Linked DNA regions of Danio rerio. The protein of the gene in region 2 interacts with the protein of the main gene of each other region in a pairwise test. Links are inferred from orthologs where the notes say so. Each region holds a gene or a part of one and is shown on either strand. Other genes may lie near its edges. The genes, in order: tcf7l2, daxx and park7.

Region 1 (4,261 bases), on a different chromosome or scaffold from region 2:
AATTCTGACTTCATATGTAAATTATTTTTTTCTTCGGTGGATTGAATTATACATACTTTATTGAAATCTTCCTTAAAATGATGTTTCTTTATAATTCCACCAATGTAATTCAGTTAGGAAAAAATTAAACAAAGCTTTGTATTCACTTTGTCATTATGTTTAAAAAAATGTAAGGAAATGCTTTATTTAAATAAAATTTTGTAACCAAATATGTAGAATGAGGGAATGCTGTGAGACAGCAGGCTGATATAGGAAGTAATGACAAACACGCAGGGATGCCTTTGAAATATATTCAATTGTGGGGAGCTGGATACCATTTTTGTACTGCATTTTTGTTGAAAACCAAAAGCAACACAATAGAAGTGTAAAGAAATACAAATACTTTTGAGAAAAGAAACATGAGAAAATGGATATTCAACCCCAAACCCCACTGTCTTTATTCATAATGAATACAGGTTATGTGGCCTCAATTAGCCAGTCGCACTCCTCCTCCGTCTGTCTCGAAACCAACCCTTTTATAATGTATGTATGTATGTATGTGCATATATATATATATATATATATATATATATATATATATATATATATATATATATATATATATATATATATATATATAATAATGCATATAAAATCTTTTGTTTTTATGTGTAATCGTATTTTTGAGTTATAATTTCAATAATTATAAATATGTAATTGTATTTTTGTACATACACAAATTTTTATTGTGTAAAATAAAAGTCAGTGATAAAATACATTTCTGGCCAATATCAGTTTTTAAAAGATTATTATATCTGTACCATATTGCAGTGTGTTCTACAATTGATCTAATTTTAATTCAAGCTGTCTATGTAATTTAAGTTGTGATATAAAAAGCAATAAAATAATTTTGACAAGCATGTTTGATTTGGAGCTGAATTCAGCCTCTTCTGTTTTGAGCAGATGTTTGGAGAGAGTGTATTTATTTCAACCCACCAACAGCTCCTAAAACAACTGCGGAAAATAAGGAAGCCAATATGATTCTAGCTGTGCCGTTTCTCCGCTCAGATGCATGCAGACTATCGCACAAGTGTCTTCCGCCTATTTTTCCATTCATTCCTGTACAAAAGCAAACAGGGGCGACTCGCTTTAACTGTCCTGCTCTTCACCAAAAGCTCTTTTCCTCTCTCTCTTTCTCTCTCTCTCTCTCGCTCGCTCGCTCACTCACTCACTCTCTCTCTCTCGTTCAAGCCCTTTTCCCCCTCCAGTACTTTTTCCTGCCCCTCTCTATTTATGAAAACGTCACTTCAAGTCCCTCCCTGTTTGAATCTCATTAGATTTTTTTTCTTGTGTGTTTCTCCCTGTCAATAATCCCGAATCCAGACTCTCTCTATTTCCATCCCTCTCTATCTGTCAATCAGCGCCGCCTTTGAACTGAAAACCACTCCGACCAACTTCAACTCCCTCAATCCGAGCGCCTCAGCTCCGTCTCCGGCTTCTGTTTCTGCCAAGATTGCCCTCTTCTTTTTGAGTTTTGAACACTCACCCAGCCAAACGCCACTGCGAGTCCCTAAACTTAAAACTCGGGATTCGGGGATCACACCAAGATCAAGGGTTTAAAAACTTTTGGGTGTTTTTGGCCCCCCGCAAAATTAGCGCTCCTCGGGAAAAATGCCGCAGCTGAACGGTGGTGGAGGGGACGATCTGGGTGCGAACGATGAAATGATTTCCTTCAAAGACGAAGGCGAGCAGGAGGAAAAGATTTCGGAGAACTCCTCAGCAGAAAGGGATTTAGCAGATGTCAAGTCTTCTCTCGTAAACGAGTCGGAAACGAATCAAAACAGCTCTTCGGATTCCGAGGTAAGTGACAAATAAGCGCGAATCCGCGACTTGTCCACAAGTTTACATGCACTTTTTCCTGCTTAAACACGCTGCTAACTAGCTAACGTAACGATCTCCTCGCTGTGATTATTCAATGCATTCCCTGTGTTTCGTTGCATTTCAAGGCGGAAAGACGGCCTCCGCCTAGATCTGAAAGTTTCAGAGACAAAACAAGAGAAAGTTTAGAGGAGGGTGAGTGCTTCTTTTCTCTAAATCTCCTTCTTTTTGTTTTTGCACAGGACAACAACACGGTGCATCGGTTTCACTTTGCTTCTGCACATACGTAACTTACAAAGTTTTTTGGGAATGTAACTTAAACTAAAAGTTTTCCTCTTTTCCCCCCCGCCATGTTAGCTGCAAAAAGGCAAGATGGAGGGCTGTTCAAGAGCCCACCGTACCCGGGCTATCCATTTATAATGATTCCCGACCTCACGAGCCCGTACCTCCCGAACGGATCGCTTTCTCCGACCGCGCGCACAGTAAGTGTTTTTCACGTCTTTCTGCAGCCACATGCACGTAGCTAAAGCACCACGTCCATGTTTAGGGATTGCTTTGGTGGGCTGGTGAACTTCTGCCACACTTCACAGCCTGCACTACTGTACAGTGGCACGCCGTTCGCGCGGACACACTGGCCGAGCGCTGCCAGCCCGCGAGCGAGCGCGTGAACAGAGCCGCGCGAGCGGCGAGTGCAGTGGGACGCGCAATGTGCTTTCATGACGTGCACAAAAACACAGACACTGGAACTTTAATCTCTGCTCTTATTATTTCTTTTCGTTTTCCCCGACACTCTCTGGCAGGTTGCGGTTGTTTAAGAACATTTTTACGGCTGCTTCTTATTTTTTATCGTAATTGTTTATGTGCCTGAATAACTGCTAGACGTTATATCGTTTGCTTTAGACTAACGTTAGACGCCTAATTTTACAGTAGCGCAGATTACCTAATTTATTCAACTAAAATCTTAATGTACGTTTGAATTTATAATAACATTGTTATTACTATTATTAATGTTTTTGTCGTTATGATTTGTGCACTTGCAAAAAATAACATTCTTTTTATATCAAACCCTCAAAATAGAAAGCTTGAATTAATTTATAATGTAAGTATATTTTAAGTAAAATCAAAGTGGTGCCTTGCTTATTACTGCCTGTGCCTTTTTCTGCTACTTAAATTGAATTCCTTATGAACAAAATCGAGGTAGAAGTGACAGAAATTATTGTGACAGTTTAAATGGATGGAAACAAAGATGCTCTTATGACATGGCGATGAAAACATTTTTACAGTGTGCCACATAAAACGTCATTTATCTGAGCTAATTTATGAGTCATTTATCCCAGCTTAGCATAATGTCGCTCGTGTTATTTAAAGAATGCAATGCACATAAACATTATTGCCAAAGAGCATCATGGGAAATGTTTATGGTAATTAGTGGAAGTCATTCAATCAATTTGTGATCGTCAGAATGAAAGCACATTATTGCTCATACCACACTTGATTCCAGTGTAGTAAAATATTACTCAGTAGCGTCAGAAATATTTTAAAATGAACAATTATTTTGAGTTATATATTTGCATTTGTTTTCATGGCATGGACTTTGTGTTTAGTGCATGCAGCATGTGATAATTTCATTTGAATAATGTTTATATACAAATGTAAATACAAATGATGTTGTTTAGATTGGGTTTGGCTTTGCATAGTTATGCATATTTGTCCAGCACTTCTCTTGGCATCAGAATGAATTAGAGTTGATTGATTTAGTCATTTCCTTATTCAAAAAGACTAGTTTATGTGTTGTAAAAATGCTGTTTATGTGGAAATAATTTTTCAAGGATCAGGAAAATTGTACTGCTATTCCTGATTTCCCTAATCAGCTCCAGGCTTAATCTGAAACGTAAAGATGCGCTTTATGACAGTGACGTGATGTGCAACCTGAAGTGAGTTGAAATATCCTGCTGTGAAATTGTGGATTTAACTTCAGGTGTTTCATTTTATTACACTGTTTTTTAATATCAGAGACATTTTTTTGGTTTGTTGTTGAAACATCTGACTGTCGTGGAAATTGCACGCTTCCCAAAACATGCTGAATGTTTTTTTCACCTGCTGATCATTTCTGTGCTGATGCTCAACGTTTAAATATAAGTGCACAGAATAATAATGAACGCTTTAGTATAGCAAGTGCAAGGAAAATGATGGAAGGATTTGACACACAGCGTGTTTTGCTCGGTTGTGAATAATCTCAGAGATGCTTTTAATATGAGAGTTCTTCTACCTGCCGAGATGGAGCCTGCTCTAAATCGTTGGCTTATTCATTTAAGGCTACCAAGAATATAGAGATCTCCCCTGGAAGTAGGATCATTGTTTGATTTATCCTCCCCTATATGTGGGAGTCAACCCAGGACTCTTC
Region 2 (3,656 bases):
GACTTTTTATCAGATGAATGTGAGAAGGAGTGATAATAATATGAAAAATAGCACAGGGTTTCAAAGACGGTGGCCCCCATTTTATATTCATGCATACACTTAAAAACATGTATGTATAGTGTTTGATATTGATAAAAAATCAATAAATATCATTTCTTAAATATTTAAAATGGTACAATCTTTTTGTACCAACCAACTTTTGGTTGGTTTTGATACCAGCAGGGAAATGAATAATTAATAATAAGACTTTTAACACTTTTGTTTTAAGCAGAATATTAAATGAGATTGTGCTAATTTTGTTGTTTTATATATTTTATATATAGGACTGCTGAGAAAACTTGATATGTGCATAACATGGTTTAGTATTGTTTTTTTTTTGTTGTTTTTTTTACTATGCTGCACAATATTGGAAAAATTACACTTTGATATATTTTGCGATATTAATACTATTTCACTAGATGAGTTGAATAAATGTTTGTAAAGAATCTATAATTTTAGTTTGATTGCAAATGTTCTGTAGGGGAGTGCATAAAATATAATAAACAGTCTACAAGAATGGATAAATTCAATAAAGAAAAATATGCTAATAAATAAACCTTGTTTTATTGTTTTCCGAAGAGTCAAAATATATTCAGGTTAATGGAGAATGAATAATCAAATCTAAAAATATTACTGCATAGTCTTAGTTTTATAAACAGTTAGATCGTTATTGTAATCGTTTTTTATTTTTCAAGGTTACAAACAATACAATTTTTTAGGCCTGAATGCTTTTAAAACCCTCACACAGTCACAGTCCTTAAAAAACACTTGCAAAATGATCAATTATAATCCAGACTCAACATTGCATATCCTGCGATGTGACTATTGCGAACGATCACATTGTGATATCGATGGTTAAACAATATATTGTTACTTCATTTGGATACTTTTAATTTTGCAGAATTTGTTCTCCGCTGTTTCAAATATTGATATTTTTCAAGGTATCGTATCGATGTCGGAAATTCCATTAATGTGGCAACACTAATGTATAAATATTGGTAGATTCAAAATAGTTCAATTAAGTTATTAAATACATGTTAGTAAAGCTAGGAAAAATATGCAGGCAAAGTGTATTAAATGTTTCATTATTTTTATCTTTTCTTTGGTTAATTTTAAAGGCATAAAAATTTAAATTATTAGACTGTGGTCGCTTTAAGACTTTATACATTGATTATGTCTCCTGAATTGCTTCAACTTTAGATTCAAATAATTTTTTTCACATGAATACTAACCAAATTGCCATTTTAATACATAAACCTGTATTTTATGGTCACTCAAGTGTTTGACCGTTTAAATATATATTTTTTATATAGAAAAATGTATTTAGAAAATATTTTACAGCTTTTGAGAATCAATCTCAAATCAACCTCCTATTAAAAATTATTAGTATAAAAATATATATTTTTCAGTTCATCAGTCTGCAGATGGAGTGCAGTTGGTCATGCAATGTGTGTTTCTCCAGCATTAGACCCTGCACTCATGGACCCAGCACTGCATCGTAAACTCCGCTCTAATAGAGACGTGGCCATCAGCAGCCTGGAGGAGGTCATCAACAAATACGCCAATAAACAGGAGGATATGGAAGTGGAGGAAACCAAGAAAAGACAAGACAGAGAAAGACTGAAAAAAGAGGTAAACGAATGAAGCATTTCTTGTTGTTCATATATCCAAAAATCTACAGAAGATTATAAATGTTCATATTTACATTTCTTAGTTTAGTAGACATATTTATCCAAAGCGACTTACTAATGAGGATGAAAAAAACACTTAGCAATGTATAGATGCCATGACAATTCTTAGTTTAGTTTATAGTTATTATTGAGTCCTAGTAATAAAGCTTTTGTAGAAAAGTGTCTGGTGCATATGGAGAGAAAAAGAGTGTCTGCTCCTACAGGTGGTTTGTCAAGCCCACTCAACTGCATGAAACATACTCAGAATTGCACAATGTTTTCCCAGAAACATGGAGTGTTGACAAGAAAGTGTCAAGTGCAAATAAATAGGGAGCTGTTTGCAAAGGGTTTGTGAAAATTCCATCAAGATGGACTATTAAGGGTTAAGGTCCCTGTGTTTTTTTATTTATTTTTATTTTGAGACCCTTTGTGATGGTAGCACAGAGCGAAATTCGGTATCTTAGCTCAGAGTCTTACTGTTAAGAAGATTAACTTGTTTAGTATTACTATTCAGGGGTGCTTTTCCCAAAACCATCATTAGCAAACTAAGTTTGCAAGTTCCGTCGTTACAAACATAGTTCGTTGATTTGCCCTTTTCCAAATCCATCGCTCCAACAAACATTCGCATACTTGAGCACATGAAACTACACCTCTGGAGCTGTAGTTAAAAAACATAGTTCTTGGCTGTTTTCTATTTCCATTTATCCCCCTATGCCCTATTAATTTAGAACATTCTAAAATTCAAAGTTGGAATGTTTAAAAATAAAAAAGTTTTACATGATTACAGTTGTGCTCCCGTTGCAGTGCACTTTAGTGTATATAAATATATATATAAATATAACTTTTATTCTCTCTATTAAAAAACAATTTTAAAAAATCTAATTCAAACTATTTACAAAGTTCTATTTCTTTGAAAAAATTAATTATTGTAATAATTTATAAGTAAAAAATATTTTTAATGAATCAACTATTTTATTATTCATTAAAAAAAAACGTAAAATATTTTACTAAATCCTGTTTCTGTATTTCCAAGACAGTCAAGCTTATTTTATTCATATGCAAGTCTGAAACCACACACTAATATAAATCTTTCCTATTTTTTGTACAGGCTGTTAATGGGCAACAGAGTGAAAGCAAAGAAAAAGAAAAGGAGGAGCAAGAAGAAAAAGAGAAGGAAGATGAAGAAGAAGAGGAGGAAGACGAAGAAGAGGACGATTCTTCAGATCCTGACATTGAAGACGAAATCCAGGCCAGCGAACAACAAGCTGGTCCAGGTAAGAAGTGAACAAATCATCTCCAAAAGCTAGAAATCACCTCATTTCACTGAGTTAACCCTGATTTCTCCCAATTTCAGAAGATGATGAAGAAGATGTGGAAGAGGAGCCTGCTAACATCAGTGACAACGATCAGCCAATCAATGAAAGCTCTCCTCTGTCAATCAAATCCTCTGTTCAGGACACAGAAGAGGATGAGGAGCAGTCTCCGCTCAGCAGCACACATGAAGGATCTGCAGAAACAAATACAAACACGAACGGACCTGCTAAACAGAGCCTCGAGTCCACAGAGATCAAGCCGGAGAGCATCAAGCCGGAGAGTATCAAGCCAGAGAGCATCAAGCCAGAGACCATCAAGCCGGAGAGCATCAAGCCAGAGAACACAGACTCTCTAGCTGAAGTCAAGACCGAACAGGTTTCCTCCAATCACGTTGAAGCTGTGTCTGCAAGCACTGAGACTGTGTCCATTGTATCCGAGGAGTCGTCCACAGCCGTCACGAGATCCGCCAACTGCAGTCCGCTGCTCCCAACCAGCCCTTTACTAATCGACGAGACGGGCAACTACAGGAAGAGGAAACGCAGATCCACAGAGAACCACACTTCTGCTCACAACGGGAACTGCACTGAGGACAGGTAAAACTCACTCCATCATATAAGCTTAGCATGAGAATTA
Region 3 (3,656 bases), on a different chromosome or scaffold from region 2:
GCTGTAATAAAACGAAACGCTATTGGCTGTTTTTTTCCGGGGGGGGGGGGGGGGGGGGTTATAACAGTTTCACCCTCTCTTTTTGTTTCGGTTGAGATTACATCAAACATCGAATAAAACTGCATATTTCAAAGCACGCCAAAGGACTTTTGATTTTCATGAAAAACTGCCTCAGCTAATTTTTTCTTGATGATATGCTCATGCAATCCAAACCTTCACACACACACACACACACACACACACTTTTTTTAAAGGTATTCCACAGCACTAAAAGAAGCCATTTGCCGTTCAGTACAGATCCCTATAGGGACATCTGCCATTTTCTGGGACGCTTTCCGCTCTCCTCTGCTCTCTGCGGCCACATGGGCTCTGTCCTCATTCAGCACGTCCTTCACCAGCCCTTGAACACCAGTGCTGATAACACACACATACACACGCCTCAGTGTTCAATACGCTTGCAAATGAAGACGGACAGGCTTAATGCTGCCAATTATTATAACTCATTATCCTTTCATTTGTATTTCAGATTTCAGTTTTACATATCCGCACTCATCTGTGAGCATCACACTGACATAAAGATGGTTCAGGTAACATTGAGGGCAAAGGCCCGGTGGGGGGAAAAAATATTAAAAGCCCTCAGGGAAATTCATGGAGGAATAAAAAAATAAGATGGTGTTCAAAAGATTGAATAATACATTTATACAGTCATAAACATGTTTTGACACTTATTATGCTAGTGATTTGACGCTTTACAAAAGTTTCAGATGCCTTTACCAATATCAAAATGCTTTTGTAAACATCCAGTTATTCTTTACACCGATTAAAAAAAGGGTTACTATACTACTACTATGAGTACTATAATAAAGAAAATCCGCTCTTACTGTAAAACTAAATAAATTGTTCTTGACACATGAAAGGGCCAAACATGCAGCCCACAACAAGGTGTAAAGTTATTGCGTATCATATTTAACAAACTGTTTACTACGAATTTTATGTAATTTTGCTCACATGGATAATTAAATATTAATCAGTTCTTTTCTTTTTTCGAAGGACATCCTGGGATTTTTAACAACCACGGAGAATCAGGACCTCGTTTTAATGTCTCATCCGAAAAACGGCACTCACTGAGCAGTACAGAGTCTCCGTCACTATACAGGGGCATTAGGACCCACACAGACCGCAGGTTGGGCGGCCCCTGCTGGTCTCACTAACACCATTTCCGGAAGCAACCTTGCTTTCCCATGTGGTCTCCCATGCAGGTAATGACCAAATGCAGCCCTGCTTAGTTTCAATGGGTGACATACCTGTCAACATTGGGATGTGAAAATAAGGGATATGCCCACCATAATAAGGGATTCCTCCAAATATATATTTTTTGATCACCCCAAAAAAATCCCCAAATTACTATGCTCATTTGGAGCTGTTTCATTGTAAATAAACAGGTAAATGGTCAGTAATGTTTTATTATTTACAAATGAAAAAAAAGAAAAAATTAACAAATGAATGATTCATTTAGATTTTTTCGTTTAATTACTTTAAATAACAGGTGTCAGTTTAAAAACGCACACATCTAACATTATAATGAAGGCAGTCGACTGCTTTCCTAACTGTTAATGCTCATTTAGGAGGAAATTATTTGTGTTTGGGAAAAAACCCCCACCAAGATCAACATCTTTAGATATTATTATTATTATTAATTATGTGTGTACATCTGTTTAAACACGCACCCAAAACCCAGACTTTTGCTCCGCTTCAAATCACGAGTACAGAATTCGTTTTGGAAACAGCGTCTATTTATCACTTTGAAGCTCGTCAGCTGACAGTCATGCAGTGCTATGACTGTTTTGAGGATTGTATATGAAGGGGAGACGACACATGTAAAGAAAAGGAAGGGAATCGTGCCGTTTTTATGTTTATTTCAAAGTGTTTTCGTACCTAAACAAAGCGAAAGCACAGAACTCGCCTTCAAGAGCAAGGGGCGGCCCCTGGTGGTTCGGAGGTATGGGAGACTCAACTCTTTAATGTTTAATTGCCACCCCTCTGAGAAAGACTGAAAATATGGGAGAAATACGGGAAAATACCTTTACGGGATCATAGCAGGATAGAACTGTAAAATACGGGAGAATCCCGGGAAAAACGGAAGGGTTGACAGGTATGATGGGTGACCATGTGAGAGTTGCAGAGAGCTAGCTGCAGGTAATATCAAGTTGTCATGACAAATATAAAGACTGATTGTTTTGTATTTGTTTTAGTCAAATTGTCATAACAAATAATGTCATCTTTGCATTCAAAATGTCATAATTGAGCGAATGACAATTAATGACAGTTGTTAGAAGCATGCATAAAAACTCATTCATAACATGTGTCATCATAATTAGAAAGATTTCATGACAGTCTTACGAACACCCCGTCAAGTAAAGTGTTACCAAAAAGGTAATATATGACGTGTCTTCCTGACATTATGCCTAATAGAGCAGTTGAAATGGTGGATGTTTATCCAGGAAAAGGTTAATGTGTGCACAGAGGTCACCAAATGAAGATTACCTGCACAGATTGCAGCGATCAGACCCTTCCTGCCCTCCTGGTCCTTCAACACCTCTTTCACAGCAGGAGACTACAACACACACATGCACACACACACTTATATGTATATGACGCACTACAGAAACAACTGTCACAACACTGCTTCAATTTACATAATTGCGCAATGTTTGCGTTTCACAATGCGACCGTGTTTCTAACCTCGGCAGATGACTCAAAGATGTTTTCTGTTGATTTGAGGAACACTCATAACCTTATGTAAGACTCGAATGGCGTAAGAGCTCTCCTATGGAACTCACTCTACTGTAAAACATGCATAATTAAAACAGATTTGTACCTCAGAAAGGTTCTGGGCTCCAAGCAAACCTCCAGGCAGAAGAACAACGTCATATGGACCCTGTTTAGGAAAGAAAATGACATGCACAACTGACATAAAACCATATTGGTTACATACTGATTAGAATACTTATTTACCATTGAAATTCATTAGGAAATATTGTTTTATTAAATGAAAGCAACTCAATTAAAACTGAACTCCCTCAGAATATTTGACATTCTGCATGTGTATATAAACAAGGAAGAAAACAATCATGAACATTTGCTTTGTTTATATTATGCATATGCAGAAATACTGTTTACCATTGATTTCATTAGGAATTCTTGTTTTATTAAATGAAAGCAACTCAATTTAAACTGAACTCCCACAGAATATTTGACATTTTGCATATGTATATGAGTCTCATGAATATTGTAAGGGTTTTCTTATTTAAAATTAAGATCCTTTAATAAAGCAAGAATACCTAATGAATTTCAGTGGTAAAGCAGTAGTGCTTATTTTATTGGCAATGCATTGCTTGGCCAGAAGATGGAGACAATACTCCATTTATTTACTTTCAACGTTCTTTAAATCCAAATCAGTTCAGAGATGAAAGCAGGAGTAGGTAGGGCTGCTCGATTATATGAAAAATTATAATAATGCTTATTTTGGTCATAATTATAATTATGATTATTCAATATATATATATATATATATATATATATATATATATATATATATATATATATATATATATATATATATATATATATATATATTTATATACATTTAAAAATAT

The links.
Region 1: the proteins of daxx (region 2) and tcf7l2 interact in binary tests that used the Homo sapiens proteins (3 or more experiments, as listed by UniProt). The link is inferred for Danio rerio from reciprocal best matches to the Homo sapiens genes DAXX and TCF7L2.
Region 3: the proteins of daxx (region 2) and park7 interact in binary tests that used the Homo sapiens proteins (3 or more experiments, as listed by UniProt). The link is inferred for Danio rerio from reciprocal best matches to the Homo sapiens genes DAXX and PARK7.

The regions. Positions count from the first base shown.
Region 1 is NC_133187.1:32,995,340-32,999,600, reverse strand, and holds the start of tcf7l2 (transcription factor 7-like 2), read left to right. Parts: upstream 1-1,351; 5' UTR 1,352-1,650; coding exon 1,651-1,839; intron 1,840-1,985; coding exon 1,986-2,052; intron 2,053-2,214; coding exon 2,215-2,339; intron 2,340-4,261. UniProt on the Homo sapiens protein: Participates in the Wnt signaling pathway and modulates MYC expression by binding to its promoter in a sequence-specific manner. Acts as a repressor in the absence of CTNNB1, and as activator in its presence.
Region 2 is NC_133194.1:8,074,042-8,077,697, reverse strand, and holds part of daxx (death domain-associated protein 6), read left to right. Parts: intron 1-1,501; coding exon 1,502-1,671; intron 1,672-2,817; coding exon 2,818-2,983; intron 2,984-3,063; coding exon 3,064-3,616; intron 3,617-3,656. UniProt on the Homo sapiens protein: Transcription corepressor known to repress transcriptional potential of several sumoylated transcription factors. Down-regulates basal and activated transcription.
Region 3 is NC_133186.1:43,783,278-43,786,933, reverse strand, and holds part of park7 (Parkinson disease protein 7 homolog), read right to left. Parts: intron 2,939-3,656; coding exon 2,879-2,938; intron 2,615-2,878; coding exon 2,545-2,614; intron 1-2,544. UniProt on the Homo sapiens protein: Multifunctional protein with controversial molecular function which plays an important role in cell protection against oxidative stress and cell death acting as oxidative stress sensor and redox-sensitive chaperone and protease.